2 linked regions of the Tamandua tetradactyla genome follow. The protein of the gene in region 1 interacts with the protein of each later gene in a pairwise test. Links are inferred from orthologs where the notes say so. Each region holds a gene or a part of one and is shown on either strand. Other genes may lie near its edges. The genes, in order: TSKS and TSSK2.

What was found.
Region 2: the proteins of TSKS (region 1) and TSSK2 interact in binary tests that used the Homo sapiens proteins (3 or more experiments, as listed by UniProt). The link is inferred for Tamandua tetradactyla from reciprocal best matches to the Homo sapiens genes TSKS and TSSK2.

The regions. Positions count from the first base shown.
Region 1 is NC_135342.1:11,399,139-11,408,970, reverse strand, and holds the start of TSKS (testis-specific serine kinase substrate), read right to left. Parts: upstream 5,008-9,832; 5' UTR 4,899-5,007; coding exon 4,657-4,898; intron 4,162-4,656; coding exon 3,933-4,161; intron 1-3,932. Other genes in the region: AP2A1 (AP-2 complex subunit alpha-1), read left to right, coding at 9,661-9,727. UniProt on the Homo sapiens protein: May play a role in testicular physiology, most probably in the process of spermatogenesis or spermatid development.
Region 2 is NC_135331.1:27,575,625-27,584,795, forward strand, and holds TSSK2 (testis-specific serine/threonine-protein kinase 2), read left to right. Parts: upstream 1-5,831; 5' UTR 5,832-5,981; coding exon 5,982-7,058; 3' UTR 7,059-7,175; downstream 7,176-9,171. Other genes in the region: TSSK1B (testis-specific serine/threonine-protein kinase 1), read left to right, coding at 97-1,185; ESS2 (splicing factor ESS-2 homolog), read right to left, coding at 8,941-9,171.

The sequences.
Region 1 (9,832 bases):
ACACAACAAGCAAACTCACCACCCTCCCCCTGTCTACATAGGACATGACTCCCAGGAGTGTGAACCTTCCTGGCAACGTGGGACAGAAATCCTAGAATGAGCGGAGACTCAGCATCAAGGGATTGAGAAAACCTTCTTGACCAAAAGGGGGAAGAGTGAAATGAGACAAAGTGTCAATGGCTGAGAGATTCCAAACAGAGTCGAGAGGTTATCCTGGAGGTTATTCTTATGCATTAAGTAGATATCACCTTGTTATTCAAGATGTAATGGAGAGGCTGGAGGGAAGTGTCTGAAAATGCAGAGCTGTGTTCCAGCAGCCATGTTTCTTGAGGATGATTGTATAATGATAAAGCTTTCACAATGTGACTGTGTGATTGTGAAAACCATCTGTGTGATGCTCCTTTTATCTACCTTGTCAACAGATGAGTAGAATATATGGAATAAAAATAAATAATAGGGGCAAAAAATGTTAAAATAAATTTAGTTTGAAATGCTAGTGATCAATGAAAGGGAGGGGTAAGGGGTATGGTATGTATAATTTTTTTTCTGTTTTCATTTTATTTTTTTCTGTTGACTTTTATTGCTTTTTCTGAATTGATGCAAATGTTCTAAGAAATGATCATGATGATGAATATGCAACTATGTGATAATATTATGAATTACTGATTATATACTGATTATATACGTAGAATGGAATGATTATATATTAAGAATGTTTGTGTTTCTTTGTTGTCATACTTTTATAAATTTAAAATTAAAAAAAAAAAAAAAGGTCTGTGGCTTCCTGCCTGAGCTGTTTGGTCTGGGAGACAATAACAGCCGTGTCATAAGCAGCATGTTTTTGAGAGAAACTGAGGCCTCCAGCCAACAGCCAGGTACAACCTTCAGGCCTTGAGATGCCTGTAGCCCCAGGTGAAATGTTGACAGTAACACAGAACTGCTATTCCGTCCTAGGTTTGCTGTTTGAAGCTGCTAAATTTGGGGGTCATTTGTTTCACAGCATTAGATAACCAATACACAAACTGATCTTTCTAAACTGAAGACACAGAAGGTCTTGGGTTTCCTGTAGGCAACCTGTTCTGGGAACTTGGGGAAGCAGGTCCTATGGTCAACCCCCAGTCTTCCCACTTGCTAACTGTGTGACCTAGGAGACGGGATGTCACCTCTCTCTGCCTCTGTTTCCCTATCTATAAAACGGAGATAGGAGTGACAGCTACCTTTACCGGGCTGCAGTGGGAAGGAACATGGACTAACCCAGAAAAGGACCATGGTCAAAACTCCGAAAAAGGGAAGGGGTGGCTGGGGTCCCTGGAGGTGTTAGCTCCCATGAGGACAGATCCAGGGAGCAGTTAAGCCAGAGCCTGTCAGCCTTGGCTGAGCAGTGGGTGTTATAACTCCTGGGGGCAAATCTCTCTTTGGCCACCCAAGTGAGACTCTAGGCAATCCAATTTCCGCTCCAAACCAGTCTGTTTCTTCTCCCATAAAATGGAAATAATACCTTGTTCAGACGGCAGGGTTACCGAGATGATGTAATCAACATGTAAATACGGCGATTAGCATTAAAAATCATGATAATAGGACAGGATCTACCTTGAAGGTGCCTTAGAAACACCTGGGAAATCTGCAGATGGAGGGCAAGGCCCAGCAAGGGTTACATGACCTGCCCTGTCAATCTTAGCCACTGACTCACTGCGTGACTTTCCAAAAGGCAACGTCACCTTCTCTGGGCCTCAGGTGGCTCGTTTGGGCTCGTAAAGATAGGATGTCCCAACTTAAGACAGGGGCCACGCCTTGTCGTCTTCACTGTTTCCCCACCTCCGTCTCTCCCTCCTCTGGAAATGACCCCCTCTCAAACAGGGTCTTCATTGCCCACAGCTCTCCGTCCCCCTCTCTCTGGGTCTCCGTCCCCCTCCCTCTGGGTTTCTGCCCCTTCTCTCTGCCTCCCTTGCGAGTGTCTTCCTTGACACAGCCTGGGTCCTGTGCCCCTTCCCGCTGTCACATACACCCTTGGCCTTGGCTGTTATTATTTTTTCCATCTCACCCAGAAGGCCCGGGAAGCCCGTGGAGGTCTTCCCCCCACCCCCCCACCCCCAGCTACCCCAGGATGCGCTCGCCACTGAGTCAGCTTTTCATCCCCTGCCCGGGGCCCTTTCCCAGGCCTGGGATCTGCTGGAGGTCTTGGCTCAGAAGTAACTCTCACGGGACACAGATGCCGCAGGGAGAGGGTGGGAAGGGCTGCCGGGCAAGTCCTCAGGCCGTCCAGTCCTGCGCCCCGTTCCCCTCTCCCCATCCTGGCTCAGTTCCTGAACGCCCACCCGGACCCTCACCCAGCCTCGCGCGAGCCTCCTGGCCTCCAGCCTCCCCCTTCCAGACGCCCTTCCGTGGGCCTAGCGGGGTCTTTCAAGAGAAAGCGAGAACATTTGTTTAATGTCACACCCACTCAGCTTCTAGCGCCGGGCCCTCTTCTTACAAGCGCCATCCTGCAGGCATCACTACCTCCTGTCGTGGCTGGGTTTCCATCTTTCAACTGGGCACCCTCACAGAACTTCAAAGGGAAGAGAACGGGACCTCCACCCTAAGGGACGTGGCCCATGAGCTCACACTGGCCCCCCATCGCCCTCGGGAAAATGCCCGTGGTTCTGAGCCTCCGCCCTCCCCATCCCCAACGCTGCACTCCAGCCCCCTCCCCCGACCCCACCCCTGGCCCTGCCTCCTGCTCTTTTCAACCCTGCCCATTCTCGCACATGTCCCTCCGTGTAGCTGGAACACACTTTCTCATCTTCTGCCTGGGGAGCGCCTTCTTTATCCCCAAGATTCAGTTTATGTGCTGCCTTTTCTGGAAAGTTCTTTCTAGACCATTCCTGGATGGACCAAAGCCTCCTTCTTCAGAGCTCCCACCTCTGCTGCTCCCCCAGCCTGACCCCTAGGCCGCTATCTACCCCTTACAAGCTGCATGACCTTCCATAAAGCTATTTAACCTCTCCGGGGCTCGATATGTTCATCTGCAAAATGGTACAAACAACAACCATGAACATAAAAAATAACAGCTACCGCTCACTCAGTGCCTGCCAGCGCTGGGCGTGACGCTCAGTGTTCTACCTCGGTGAACTACCCTTCAATTCATGACAAACTTATGAGGCGAGACCTCTTCTAATCAGAATTCTGTAGACGTACACTCAGCAGTAGACATTCAAGAAATATTTGTTTGAAGAACAGATGCATGACTCTCTGTTTTACAGATGAGGAAATCGAGGATCTCAGAACACAGAAAGTGCCTGGCAAATGCACCTCATTATCATCATCCTGATTGCAGTTATTTTAAGTTTGATTCTTGGTGTCCATGTCTGCCAGAGCCCAGGGGAAGCCTTGGGAGGTAATTCAGTGACCAAGCAGAGGTGCCCCATGCTCCAGCCAGGAACTACCCTAGCTTTTGCTCACCTCCCAGTTTTGCCCCAAACTCTAGGGTGATCCCCTCAGAGAACTCCTTTTCATCCATCAAGGCCCAGTTCCAACACCACCTCCTCTAGGAAGTCTTCCCGGCTTTCCCCAGCCTGGTTTGAGGGGTCCTTGTCTGGGACCTCAGCACCACCTTCATCATGGCCTCTGTCACCCAGGCTGTGTCCATCTCCCCCACTGGACTGAGAGCTCCCCAAGGGCAGTGAACTCAACTGATTCTTGTCTGTGTCCCCAGCCCCGTGCAAGACATGTAGCAGTGACTGAAAGAACCAAAACAAACCCCAAGACAGCAGGGATCATTTGCCAAGGACAAAACCAATTCATGGCCGGCTGTCAAAGGAGGCAGAGGCAGATCACCTGGGCCTTAAAGAGCAACCAAAACCTTCTCATGTCAAATCAAGAGCCCCTTCCCCACCCTCAGCGTTTGCCTACCACCGGGTCAAGCCCCCTTGTCTTCCCCAGCCGGGGCCTCTCACCAGGATTTCCGTGATGTCTGGGTCATCTGGAGCCCAGGGTGGCGGCGGGGAGGCGGGAGGTCCGGGCAGTGCAGGGGGGCCACCACTCTCTTCCGCGGTCGACTCTGTCCCTGAGGAGTCAGCGGGCTCCACGGCGGCCAGGTTGAGCAGGGACACGTTGGTGCAGGCGGAGGACCGCTTGAGGTTCAGGCACCAGTGCATCGGCTCGTGCGACATCCGGGGCTCCACCCTGGAGAGGAGAGACAGGCCGAGGGGTCGGGACACAGCCCCCATGGGGTGCAGCCCCTCCTGCCTCCACACCACCTCCTCCCCTGACTCCAGCCTCACTGCCTGCTTTCTTCTCCCTTCCATTTCCTCGCTGACTACTTTCTTCTTCCTTCTCATCCCGCCGCCTACTTTCTCCTTTCCCCTTCCCTGCTGCCTTGTTTCTTCTTTCTTATCATCCCCGCCTTTCTTTTTCTTCTCCCTTTTCATCCCAGCTGTCTACTTTCTTCTCCTTTCCCCACTGACTATGCTCCATCACCACTTTCCTCTCCCTTCCCCAGTTCCTCTCTCCCTTTTCCTTCCCCAGTGAGTGTTCCCTCCCTGCATCCACCACTGCCCTCCCCTCTACTGTGTCTGCCTCTGCCCCTTGCACTCTGCCTTCTTCCTTCCCCTCCCCCCTCGCCCCTGCCCTCTGGCTGTGCCTCCTCTGCCCTCCCCCTCCCCTTCCTCCAGCACCCACGGTGGGACTTGGGCTCTGATGGAGGCAGCGCTGGGCGCTAGGACCGTCCCCGACAGGGTGCGACAAACCCACCCGTGGAACGACACGGCCTTCTTTTTCTTCGTGATCCCCTTGGCCGGGCTGAGCACCCCCCCGGGGGCCTCTGGGAGCAGCTGGGAGCGGCTCTCGACCCCCGCGGGGGGATCCCCGGCCTCGTGAATTTCTTTGGACTGCCAGATTGTTTTCACCACCACGCTCGCCATGGCATGGGGGGGTCCTGCTCCCAGGGGCTCTTTCCTCTGAGACTCGCCACCTACTCTGACCGCTGAACCTCAGAGCCCCTGCCCCCTCAGCCCGCCTCACAAAGGGCCCAACCAACTGGGCCCCCGGGTGGGGGTAGGGGAGGTGACCCAGGAAGGGAGAGAGGCCCTGGCTCATGGAACCTTCCAGAAACTCTCATGGACTACCCCCACCTCTGAGGCTTCCAATTCTACCCCAGCGTGCCCCCGGCCTCTCAGAGCCACACCGGACCTCCTCAAATTTTAGTTCAAGACTTACAACAAGTGGGCCCTGGGGTTCCTGGGGTGAGGGGGGGGTGTCCTCTGACCTCTGACTCCCCTCTTCCTGAGAACAAACGTGGGGTCATTACAGCCCCCCACTCTCATACTTGATGGTTGGCCCAATGCCGGGGATCTGGTGTTTTTGGGGGGCCTGGGAGGTGGTGGCCAATGAGCACGGATGTAAGCCCCTGACCATTTCCTACGGGGGAGCAACAAGACAGATGCACAGACAAAAAAACACTGGGCGTGGACGCATGATGGAAAGGGAATGGAAATGGGGTGACGGCAGGCACATACCTCTGTCAAAACATGTCGCTTTGTGCCCTGCACGTCTGTGCCTCTTATTGCATGTGCATTTTACCTGCTGAAAAAGAATCTAAACGTGATTGTATAACGATAAAGCTTTCGCAATGCGACTGTGTGATTGTGAAAACCTTGTGTCTGATGCTCCGTTTACCTACCTTATGGACAGATGAGTAAAACATATGGATTAAAAATAATTAAATAATAGGTGAACAAATGTTAAAATACGTTTAGTAGATTAAAATGCTAGTGGTCGATGAGAGGGAAGGGTAAGGGGCATGGTATGTATGAATTTTTTTGTTTTCTTTTTATTTCTTTTTCTGAATTGATGCAAATGTTCTAAGAAATGATCATGATAATGAATATGCAACTATGTGATGATACTGTGAGTTACTGATTATATAACAAGAATGGAATGATCATATGGTAAGAATGTTTGTGTTTGTATGCGGTTATGTTTCATAAATAAACTTTAAAAATGCAAAAAAAAAAACCACCCCCAAAAACAAAAAAGAATCTAAGTGAATATCAAGTTCCAGCCAAAAGCAGGCTGAAGCATCTGGGGTCAGGTACAGATGGACAGAGGGAAGGGTACACATACAAACAGGTGATAAAGCAAGTAAAGAAATATGTTAACGGTGGAATCAACGTGGGGGTAGAGGGTGTTGGCTCAATGGCGATTTTGACTTTTCTGAGTATTTAGAAATGTTCATCACGCAGTGATGGAGCAGAAACTGGCAATTGGGATGAAGTAATAGTGCGATCAAACGATCAAAAAACATGATGCTAAGCGAAATAAGCCAAATGCATGATTCTGCTTCCATGAACTCACCAGAATCAGCAAATGCATAGAGAGGGGAAGTAGGATGAGGTTATGGGGGTGGTGGTGCTGGAGGGAGGGAAGGGGAAGTGATTACTTAACGGGTACAGAGTTTCTGTTCAGGGTGATGAAAAATTCTTGGTAAAGGATGATGGTGATGGTGGCACAATACTGCGAACGTAATTAATATTGCTGAATCGTATGCATGAAAGTGGTTAAAATGGGAAATTTGGGGTTGTATGTATGTCACCACAATAAAAATTTTTAAAAATCCAAGCTGCAGAAGGACCGGGCAGAGAGGGCTTTAAGAAAGCAATCCAAGATCCAGGCAACAGAGGGTGGTGGCCTGGAAGGGGCTGAGGCAGGCCATGGGGTGGCTGCAGGCATCATGATGTGTCCTGATTTGGTTTGGGTGGAGGGGTGGGGAAGGATTCCAGAACAAATGTCTGGAGTTATGGCAGGTGCCCAAACGCGAAGACCGGGGGTAAGTTTGGTTCTTCTGGAGGAAATCAGAATCCGATGTGCATCATGAGTGGCCTTGCTCGGGTGGAAGTCTTAGAACTTCTACTAGTGGCTCAACCCATGTGCTCCTTGGCGTGCCCAAGGTTCCCTCTTACCGTCCCATCTTAAAGCCTATCATGGCTTGACCACACCTCCCTAGATCTCCTCCAAAGGTGGACTTGTTCATGACCTGGTCTTCCAGGTGACTTACCAGCAGATCAGCCCCAGCTTTCCAGAATGGTCTGGCCCCAGCCTGCCTGACCCTACTGAGAGCCTCTGACTGCTGAGCACAGGCCACGTGGCTTGTCCAAGCTGAGCCGGGCTGTATGTTTACTGGATTCCAAAGATTTACAAAAATAAGAACATAAAACAGGCTAAAATGATAACAGTTGGATACTGGATTAACTAAAATATACTATGGAAGTTAGGATCACCTGTTTCTGTTTATTTATTTATTTTAACGTGGCTAGAAATTGAAAACTAGATTGGAAATTACACCCAGGGTTCTCACTGTAAATCTCTTTTTTTTTTCACATGGTCAGGTACCAGGAATCAAACCCCGGGTCCTCGGGCATGGCAGGTAAGCACTCTCACCTGCTGAGCCACCGTGGCCCGCCCCTCACTGTAATTCTATGTGGACAGTGCTATTCTAACTCAAAGGGGGTCAGCCATGTCCATCCCTTCTCAGGCTCAAGACGCCCAGGGCCCAGGAAGGCAGCCCCTGGCTCCTCAACCTGCCCCAGTCTCAGGTCCTCATCAGACCTTAGATCGCTTCTACTTTAAGCCCAGTCTTGAAAATTAAGTTTCAGCCAATTAATGAGCTCCCTGAGGGAGGAGAGGCCAGGCTGAGTCCCCCATATACCCAGGAGGGGGCTAGGACATCCTTCACTCCACACCAAGAACCCAGAGTTAAATCTGTTTGTCCTTAGGTGGGCTCTGTGGGGGACATGGCGGTGGTGGCGGTGTTTTTGTGTGTGTGTGTGCGTAACGACCCCTCACGTCTCTTCCTCATAACCCCCAAACAGGACTAGTTTGAATTCCACTACTACTACTATATACTTTTAAAGGCGATTTCTTCAGGGACAAAGTGGTCCTCTCCAAGTCACCCACGAACAAGTCCTTGGAACGCTTAATGTTTTCCTCCATTAAAAAAAGGACTTGTTCAACTCCTGGTCCTAATAATACAATTTTTAAAATAGGATTGCCCCTACGTTCCCTAGGAGAAGCCAGTCTCCCCTTCGCGGTGTTAGGAATGGACTCGCCGGCCCAGACAGCCCCCCCTAGGATGCAGAATGTATTTTCCTAAACCCTATTCTTGGAAATCCAAATGGACGGATCCACTGAACCTGAGAGGTGGGCTCTTACCCATTCCCCCAGGATTCGGAGTGGACATTCCCAGGATCAGGACACTCCCCTAAGGCTCATTCCCGGGATACTTGGCTTCTGAGATTAGAAAAGGGTGGTGGGGTGGGGTTTTGTTCCTCGAGGTGACAGAAATGGACTCTCCCACTTCCCTTTGCCCCAAATTTCTCAATAGCCAAGGGCGCTGCAGTTCTGGAAGCTTTGTTTTCCCCAAAGCCAATCAACCAAACAGGGTCTCCGGAGCGCCGAGGGGCCGGGCCAAAGCCGATTGACCCATTCCTTACTTCAAAAAGCATTTTTTTTTCCTTTTTAGCTTTGCAGTACAAGGTTCCATTCTTGCCCAGGCGGAGCTGCGCATCTGGTGAAGATAATCACAATTTTTATTTGATATCTGCTCTAATGGAGGTTACCTGAGGCGTTGTTGTTGAAGAAAAACAAAACAAAACAAAACAAAAAACAATGAAAAGTGGCTATAGGCCAAAATATAGTTTAAATCTCAGTTTTGCCGCTGCCGAGCTGTGTGACCTTTGACAAGTCACTCAACGTCTCTGGACTTCAGGTTTAACTTCTGTTTCATGGGACTAGACGTGGATACAGTTCTTCTCCAGTGAGATCCCAGGTTTTCTGACAAGCCAAGTCCTGACATCTTAGAATCTAGAGAAAGGTGGCGGGAAGGAAGAGAGAATGCTCCTACAAATGAATTTAAGGAATTGGGGGGGGGAAAAAGGGAAACTAGGAGACGCTTGCGCAGTAAACACCTCCTAGACTCTCGCCCCGCCCAACCCCTTCTCTGCAGCAGGGAATTGCAGACGTCGCTCTACCTATCCCAGACCAGCTGAGTGACTCTTCCCCGTCTCCTTCCTTCTCCACCAATCATCGCCCTCCACCCGCCCCCACACCCGCCCACTCGAGGGCGGAAATAGGCCAGACCCCGCAAATCCGCGATGCCTGTGGGGGTGATCTGCCCCTCCACTGGCCTCTGTGCACTCAAGTCCCGCCTCCTCAGGCCCGCTTCCCCGCCTTCCTTCACGTCTTTTCATCCCCTCTCGGAGAGAGGCCAGGTCCAATCAGTATCCGACCCGGCAGCGCGGAGGGGGCGGTCCCACGGTACGTAACCGAACCCAGCCCGTCTCTTGGGCACCGCTCCCTCCCCCGTGCCCGAACGGAAATAGCGGGGTACTGGACCAATCGCAGCGCTGTACTTTTACCTAAGGGCCAATTAGAAAGCAGTAGGGGATGAGCCCTAGCCTTAGCGGCAGTAGCCACAGCCAACCCGCGGCTGACAGTTCCGGGCGGTGGAGTCGAGGGGAGGGGCCCGGGGGCGGAGCCGCGGCCTGTCCGCCCGCCCGCGCGCCCTCCCCTTAGTCCCGGCCCGGCTCCTCGGCGCTGCCTGAGATTCTCTACGCCTGGTCGCCGCCCGCCAGTCCCCGCTGCGCTGTGCCCTGCCCGGCCAGGCCTGGAGCCGACACCCCCGCCATCATGCCGGCCGTGTCCAAGGGCGATGGGATGCGGGGGCTCGCGGTGTTCATCTCCGACATCCGAAACTGTGAGCCCGCGGCCGGAGGACACTGGGGCGGGGGAGCGTGGATTTGGGGGCTTCGGAGGCCGTGGAAGGGCCCCGGGGGTGGAAGGCCAGCGAGGTCACAGCCAG
Region 2 (9,171 bases), on another chromosome or scaffold:
CAGGACGCTTTTTCCACGGTGTAAATGCTGCCGCCAGCCCCATGTCCCGCAGGGATGTAGAGGGCAGCCCCAGAGGCACTGGGCGCTCCCAGCACCATGGATGACGCTGCCGTCCTCAAGCGACGAGGCTACATCATGGGGATAAATTTGGGAGAGGGCTCGTACGCCAAAGTCAAGTCGGCCTACTCGGAGCGCCTCAAGTTCAACGTGGCGGTCAAGATCATCGACCGCAAGAAAGCCCCCACGGACTTCTTGGAGAAATTCCTCCCCCGGGAAATCGAGATTCTGGCCATGCTCAACCACCGCTCCATCGTCAAGACCTACGAGATCTTCGAGACTTCCGACGGCAAGGTCTACATCGTCATGGAGCTGGGGGTCCAGGGCGACCTCCTGGAGTTCATCAAGTCCCGGGGGGCCCTGCACGAGGACGAGGCCCGCAAGAAATTCCACCAGCTCTCCTCGGCCATCAAGTACTGCCACGACCTGGACGTCGTCCACCGGGACCTCAAGTGTGAGAACCTTCTCCTCGACAAGGACTTCAACATCAAGCTGTCCGACTTCGGCTTCTCCAAGCGCTGCCTGCGGGACGACAGCGGCCGGCTGACCTTGAGCAAGACCTTCTGTGGGTCGGCGGCCTATGCGGCCCCCGAGGTGCTGCAGGGCATCCCCTACCAGCCCAAGGTCTACGACATCTGGAGCCTGGGAGTGATCCTCTACATCATGGTGTGCGGCTCCATGCCCTATGATGATTCCAACATCAAAAAGATGCTGCGCATCCAGAAGGAGCACCGCGTCAACTTCCCACGCTCCAAGCACCTGACGGGCGAGTGCAAGGACCTCATCTACCGCATGCTCCAGCCGGACGTCAATCGGCGGCTGCACATCGACGAGATCCTTGGCCACTGCTGGGTGCAGCCCAAGGCTCGGGGCCTGTCCTCGGTGGCCATCAACAAGGAAGGGGAGAGCTCCCGGGCCCCCGAGTCCGTGTGGGCCCCAGATCCCGTCTCTGACAAGAAGTCGGTCACCAAGCAGGAGCCCCGGGAAGAGGCCCGGCTGGAGGCAGGTCCTGAGACTGAGTCGGTGCAGGTGGCGAGGCAGTCGGAGACCATCGGTTTCACCGGGGAGATATCTGGGGAGACCAAGGAAGGGCCCCCCCAGCCGCTCACCGAGACACACACCCCGTGAGCCTCTGTTGGCCCAGGGGGCCAGCGGGGAACAAGATGGAGCCCATGACTTCAGGCCTGAGCGTGGAAGAAGCCAAGAGAGGAGGCCGAGAAGGGGCGCAGGCCCCTTGGAGCCACTATTTTTGTCAGTTCCTTCTCCCTCCCTTTGAACTTGGTGACCCACATGGCTAAAGAAGCAATAAATCACAGACTATATTAGTGTACACCCCAAGGTGAATGTCTTTCTCCAGCTCCCGCCCACCCTCCGTTGGAGCTATGCTGTACCTCTCCCTCAGGAAGATACATCCTAGTATGTCCTGGGTGCCTGGTTCGTGACCACAGGGCCTGGCTGCAGAAGCTGGGAGGGCGGGTTGTGGGGCACAGGGGCGAGTGGGGTATGCGGCTGGAGGGGCAGGGACCAGAGCTGGGAGTGAGGAAGATGCTGCTTTGAAAGGGAGGGTTGTGAACACGGTGCTGGGGTGGAAAGGAGAGGATGAAACCGAGGGTCCAGCTGGCTACCTGCAGAGAAAGGGCGGTTGAGGCCAGGGGCCTCTCAAGCTGGGGAGCTGGCTCTGTCTGCAGTCAGGGGTCTTGCCATCCCGTGGCAAGGAAGACAGAGTGCCTGCCAGCAGGGAGAGGCATCTCTCCCAAACCAGCTATGCCCCTGCCCACTTCTCAATCTTGGGTAGACCTCCCAACCCTCAGTCCTCTGGGAGAAGAGACCCTCCACTCCCCGCCACAGCCAGGTCACTCCCCTGCCTGGATCTTTCTTCTCCCCACAGCTGCCTTGCAGTTTATCTTGGGGCCCCCAGCTCTGCCTCCCCACCCCCCCATCCCTGCAGACACCTTCCACTATGGCTAGAGCCCCCTCTGCATCCCTTCTGGCCCCCACTGCTTCTCCCAGGTCTAGCCTCCTTTCTCCCTCCTTCTCCTTCATGTGTCCCCTCCCCTGTCATTTCGGTGGCCTGCATGGTCCTTGGGCCCGGGAATGACCCTCATCCTGTTCAGAGGCTGGGAAAGCAGCTCAGAGAGGGTCAGTGGCCTGCCTGATATCACACAACCTGGAGCAGAGGACCAGCCACTCTCTGCTGGAGGCCGCCCTGTGCCAGAGACTCCAGACCCCTGCCTGGCCCCCCAAAGGTGTCAGGATGGTGACCTCCCGTGGCCAGTCCACGCCTCTTCTGCCCAAGTGCCCAGCTGTCCCTATGCAGTCCTCTCTCACACTGTCTGGCTGCCCCCTCCTCCGTCTGTCCACCCTCCGTCTGGTTACTTCCTGTGTCTCGGCCTTCCTGGTGTCCCTAGCCTGTGCCCCAGGTCTGTCCTGCACCCTGGCACAGCCTACGACATCCACTCACCCTGGCTGCTGTGGCACCGCACCCTGCTGGGCTCCTCGCTGGCCTCAGGGTGCATGAAGGCATGGGCCCTGCTTCTCCCCAGCTCCTCGGACAGACTCTCAGATACTTTCAGGAGGAATGGATGGAGGCCTGCTTTGCAGAGGAAATTGAAGCTCAGAGAGAGACCCCCTAACCCCATCCCAGACAGCTGCACTTGGGCAATGCTGAGGCCCACTTCCTCCAGCATGTCCCTGCCCCCCCCCCGCCCCAAACCAGAGATGCTACATCAGTACCATTCAGAGGGTAAAAGGAGGCAGAACCCACCTAAAAGGAAGCAGAGCGATGCCCCAGACAGAGTTTGGAGATGCAGGGAAAAGACAGGGGAGGGGGCTCATGCTTCTGGGTGCTGGCCTGGCAAATCCTCACAGCCAGCCCCTTCTGGGACCTAAAGGAGTGGAGTTCTGATTATTTCAGCCAGAAACAGGCTCCAGTATTTATGTGACACCTGAGATTCAAAATCAGAGCACTGAACTATTTATTAAAAGTCTGCACTATGCCATACAGGAACTGTTTAAGAACTTGAGAAAGTGATCAGACATCAAGTAGAGCTATGAATGAAGCTGATCTGGATAGGACTAAGGTATATCAGAAGACTGAGTAAAGGATGAATCTGACCATTTTTGAAACTTCAACTTCAGTGTCAGCCTAAAGGGAGAGATGTTTATTGGGTGCAAAATTTATATTTTGGGTAGTGCATCTCCTAATGTAACTCGTGTGATCAGTTGAGTTGAACACCGTTAAGTACAGGGAATCTTGAATAGGGTCTGAGATTTTGTTGGTTTGTCCAAGTTAGTGTGATGCCCCAATGCATCCCAGAGTGATTTGGACAGTGAATACAGAAGTATTTGCAGGGTCCCCTTAGGAGAATGGGGAGAAAAGAGGGAAAGACTCAACTTCCCCATTTGGATAATTTCTGATACTCTCACAAGTAGTGTGGACAACCAAATCAATAAGCCAAGTCCCCAGTCTTGGGGTTCACCCCTATGAAACATATTCCTACTATGGATAGGCTAAGCCTACTTAAAATTAGGCCTAAGAGTCAACCCCAGAGAACCTCTTTTGTTGCTCACATGTGGCTCTAAGCCAATAAGGCAAGTGAACCACTGCCCTCCCCAGCACGTGGGACATGACTCCCAGGGGTATGAATCGCCCTGGCAACGTGGGACAGAACTTCCAGGAAGAGCTGGGATTCGGCCTCAAGGGATTGAGAAAACCTGCTTGACCAAAAGGGGGGGAGAGAGAAATGAGACAAACTAAAATGTCAGTGGCTGAGAGATTTCAGAGTCAAGAGGTTATCCTGGAGGTTATTTGTACACATTACATAGATATCCGTTTTCAGTTTATGGTGTATTGGAGTGGCTAGAGGGAAGTACCTGAAACTGTAGACTGTTCCAGTAGCCTTGTTTTTTGAAGATGATTATATAATGATATAGCTTTTACAATATGACTGTGTGATTGTGAAAACTTTGTGTCTGATGCTCCCTTTATATAGGGTATGGACAGATGAGTAAAAAAATATGGGTAAGAAAATAAATAAATAATGGGGGAACAAAGATTAGTGGTCAATGAGGGGGGATAAAGGGTACGGTATGTATGAGTTTTTTCTGTTGTATTATTTTTTCTGAAGTGATGCAAATGTTTTAAAAAATGATCATGACGATGAATACACAACTATGTGAAGACACTGCGAGCCATCAATTGCACATCGTGCATGGAATGTTTGCATGTGAAGGATGTTCATGTTTGTATGCTGATTTATCAATAAAAATATTTTAAAAGAAAGAGGCCCCAGGAAAAAGGAGCATACCACGTTAAAACAAGTCACAAAATGACGGGGCTCCAAAGAGCTCTCGGAGTGGGCCTGGGGCAGAGAAGGACCTCTCGGGGAGGTGCTCAGCCCTTGCTCACCCAGAACGCTCCCACTTGGGGTACAAGGGGGGGCTCTCCTCCTCTGAGTTAGGCTGCTCTGCCAAGCCAGACACCAGGAGCTCCTTGCAGGGCCCAGGTGTCTCCACACAGCCATGCCTCTGGCCACGACTTTCTGAGTATCTGGCCTGCCCTTCTGGTCAGCCTGGCGGAAACTCCTGTGCACCTCTGCTTTGCCATCACTTCCTCTGAAACCTTCCTTGGCCACCTACCAGACCTTCTTCCTCTCCCCTGGACACCTGTCCTGGCAATGCAGCCAAGAGAGGCCAGCCAGGGTTCTCTGGAGCCAGGGAGAGAGGCTCGGTGGACATGCTGAGGAGGTACTTTGTGCCCACATAGACTACACTTTGCAAAGCAGAAATCCACACACATGCCCCCAAAAGGATTTTCCTATTGCTTCCAGGTGCTAAAAGCCCCCTGAGGGACAGAAAGCATGTGCCAACCCTGGGAACCTTGGGGATTGGGGAAGGGGTGCAAGTAAGAGCCACCCAGCTCTGACTTAGGTCCAGTGACACTTCAGGACCCCTCTTCGCCCAGGTGCCAGCTGTCCAGGGTGCTGTGCCACCCACCCGCCCACCCAAGTACCCACCCCCCTCTTCTCTGTCTCCTCTGCGACCTGACCCCCAGAGCCCATCCTGTGTCGACCTTGCTGCCAGGGACCACCGTTTCAAAGGTAACTTGGACCTGTGCCCTGAAATAACTGCCCACCGCCCAGAGCCCACCTTACCTCCTCTGTGAGCTCACCTGCTGCTCAGAATCACTCAGAATTCTCAGAGTGAGCCTCTCTCACCTCCCAGCTCTTCCCGGCCGCAGGACGCCTGGACACCTGCTTCCCCGGACTGGGGCCCTGCCCACCCCTGTGAATATGGACGGGCTGAGCTGGCACCCGCAGGCTCACCCGGGCAGTCGCGACCACTTGGCCGGCCAGCACCTGCTCCCACCCAGGAAGCTGCTTCTGGCCTGGAGTACCAGAACCACCAACACTGGGGGGGGGGGGGGGGGGGGGTTCTCTATGGATCTCAAAGGCGCTGTGGGCGATGTGCCCGAGAGGGACGAGGACCCACACAAGGGTCCAATTCCACGGTTGGGAGAGCGAACGTGCCACGGGGCTGCACTCGGGCTGGGCTAGGGCCACCTCCCCTTGGGGCCTGGCAGGCAGGGTGGCCACGGCCAAGGGGGTGGATGATGAGGGATGCCAAGGTCCCGGGGCTGCCCTCCTTCCAGAAGGCGGGTGGTGGGCGCTCCTGCCTGGGCTGGCCTGGCTTCCAAGGTTCCAGGGGCCCCATCCGGCAGCACCCCAAGCACCCGCTGCCAGCAGCCTGGCTTTGTGACTTCACGTGCTGAAGTCACCCGGAGACAATGCCGAGCGTTCCACTCGCTCCAACCCCGGGCCCGGCCCACCCAGAGGAGTCCCTGCCAGCGCCGGGGAGGATGATGCCCGCTGGCCCATGTGGGGAGGGGATGTAGAGGGCGGCGGGCGCCGGCCGCTCTTGGCACCATGGACGATGCCGCGGTGCTGAGGAAAAAGGGTTACATCGTGGGCATCAACCTGGGCAAGGGCTCCTATGCCAAGGTCAAGTCGGCCTACTCAGAGCGCCTTAAGTTCAACGTGGCGGTCAAGATCATCGACCGCAAGAAAGCCCCCGCGGACTTCGTGGAGAGGTTTCTCCCCCGGGAGATGGACATTCTGGCCACCGTCAGCCACCGCTCCATCATCAAGACCTACGAGATCTTCGAGACTTCCGACGGCAAGGTCTACATCGTCATGGAGCTGGGGGTCCAGGGCGACCTCCTGGAGTTCATCAAGTCCCGGGGGGCCCTGCACGAGGACGAGGCCCGCAAGATGTTCCGCCAGCTCTCCTCGGCCGTCAAGTACTGCCACGACCTGGATGTCGTCCACCGGGACCTCAAGTGTGAGAACCTTCTCCTCGACAAGGACTTCAACATCAAGCTGTCCGACTTCGGCTTCTCCAAGCGCTGCCTGCGGGACGACAGCGGCCGGCTGACCTTGAGCAAGACCTTCTGTGGGTCGGCAGCCTATGCGGCCCCCGAGGTGCTGCAGGGCATCCCCTACCAGCCCAAGGTCTACGACATCTGGAGCCTGGGAGTGATCCTCTACATCATGGTGTGCGGCTCCATGCCCTACGATGATTCCGACATCAAGAAGATGCTGCGCATCCAGAAGGAGCACCGCGTCGACTTCCCACGCTCCAAGCACCTGACGGGCGAGTGCAAGGACCTCATCTACCGCATGCTCCAGCCGGACGTCAATCGGCGGCTGCACATCGACGAGATCCTCGGTCACTCGTGGCTGCAGCCCCCCAAGCCCAAGGCCTTGTCTTCCGGCTCCTTCAAGCGGGAGGGGGAGGGCAAGTACCGGGCCGAGTGCAAACTGGACACCCGGCCGGGCTCGCGAGCCGAGCACCGGCCGGACCACAAGCTGGGGGCCAAGACCCAGCACCGGCTGCTGGTGGCGCCCGAGAACGAGGACAAGGCGGAGGACAGGCTGGCCGAGACCTCCAGGGCCAAGGACCATCACCCCTCTGGGGCCGAGGTGGGGAAGGCGAGCACCTAGCCACCATGAGGGGCCCTCTGAGGCGGCGTGGGGCGGGGTTTGCGCTCACGATAAGTAGGGCAGGTAGGAGCAGAAGAAGGCACGGGTGCAAGGAACCAGTAAAATCCGTCAATTAAACCACTATTTTGATTACGTTCTATTAGCTTTCTTCCACTTAGTAGCAGAAAAAAAAAACCAAACTAAAACGTTCGTTATTGACCACCAAATAAACCGCAAAGTATATACAGCATCAACGGTGCCCCGTGAGGAGTCTTTTTCTCCTTGGCTCAGCCAACCTCCCTCCCTGCGGCTTGGAGGCTCCCTGGGTCTGCAGAGTAGGGCCCGCGGCACATGCTCAGCCAGAGGTCCATGCACTGAGAGTCCTGTGGAGTCTGCCTGCTGCACCCCATGTGGCCTCCCGGGACCTGCTCCCCACCCCAGTGCTCATGTGTGCCAACACCTCACTTGTACCCTGACTTCAACTTTCCCTGGGGCTGTCCGAGGTGGGTGACCCACAAGCCCTGAGCCCTCCTCTCCATCCCCAGCAGGCCCCAACTGAGATCTTGCCTGTACCCAATGCAGCCCGTGCATTTGCCGGCCAGCCTCAGATACCGCCCAGCCAAGTGCAGGCGGCCTGGAAAATGGCCCCCCTTCCATCTGACTCACACCCATCTGGACACCTGCCTCTTCACCTCCTAGGGTTCCACTGAGCTAAAGCCCAGCCTGCCCTGTTGGGGAGAAGCACCAGAAGCTGCACCCTCCCAGCAGCCAGTCAGCCCCCACCCCTATGCCCACCCCTCTGTGGCTTCCAGGGTGTATTGGAGGCTTGGCCACCCTGGGAGCTTGCAGGTTCAGTCTCACCACAGATGTCCGGTCCTCGGCCTGGCCTCCGGAGGGGATCAGTGGACGGAGAGGGCAAGGAGGACCAGAGACAACGGCCTAATGCAGGGCTGGCTGTGCTCCAGGAGGAGAGACTCCAGCCTGAGCAGGTGCCCGGGGCTCAATGTGTGAGGCTTGGAGACCCGGTTCTGGAGCCAGTCCACAGCCTTGGTCACAGCTCCACACAGGGGACAAGGCCTCTCCCCTATGCGGCGAAGGGGCCACCCAGGCAATCAGGGCCAGCAGGACCCAGGGCGGCCAGGCTTTCAGGCTTGGGCACCAACACCCTCTCGCTCATGGCCGTGCAGGGCAGGCGCAGAGACCTTCTAGGTCTGTTTGCGGCCCGGCCCCTCTCCTTTTTACCCTGAGCCCTGGTTCCTGTTCTCGGGGGGCTCGTGTAGGTGGGAATGGTGGGCGGGGCACTGGCGGAGGAGAGGAGAGCAGAGACAGAGACTATCTGCCCAGGGCAGGTCTCCTTGGTCCTTCGGGGGCTAGAAGCCAGGTGCCCGGGAGATGGTGACAGCAGAGCCCAGCTGCAGAAGCTGCAGACCTGCCTAATCCAAAGCATGACTTCCAAGCATCTCCATCCCTCCCTTGGAAGAGTAGGAAGTCCTGGGGGGACAAGGGGGTGGCAGATGTGCAAACTTAGCTCACACAGGTTGCTGGCCTGGAGGGGGGCGGGGGGGCCACAAAAATGTAACACGGGAGGTAGTGGGAAAGCCACGGCCCTGACACCATGGTGGCCACGATCAGCCCAGCCTACAGCCTCTCCCCTGGGAGGTCCCCACAGGCCTGAGATGGTGGCACAGATCCCAAGGCCCCAGGCCCAGTGTGGGCAGGACAAAGGCGACTACCAGATGGTGCTGTTGTTCTTTAATGACAGTCTGGACAGGCGGCGAATAGAAAACAGTTTGAAGTCTCTGGATGCTCGTTGAGCGCAGTCCACGTGGTGAGCGCACGTGTCCAGTCCGTGGCTGGGCACCCAGCTGCCCTGCAGGCCCCGTGCTGGCCCCTCAGCTTGACCCTAGAAGAAGTCGGAGGCTTTGCGGCGGGCGGGAAGCTGCAGCAGGTTGTCTGTGATGGAGGCCGGGTCCTGGCCGAGGGGGGTGCGAGTGGCTGAGCCAGGAGCAGGGGTGCTGGTGGGGGTCTGGGGCCCGCCAGCCGGGCTCTTGAGGTGGGCTGGGCGTGCTGGGGATGGCGTGTAGCTGGCTCGCAGGGCACGGTCGGTGTACTTGCTGGCCGTCCTGCTCACCAG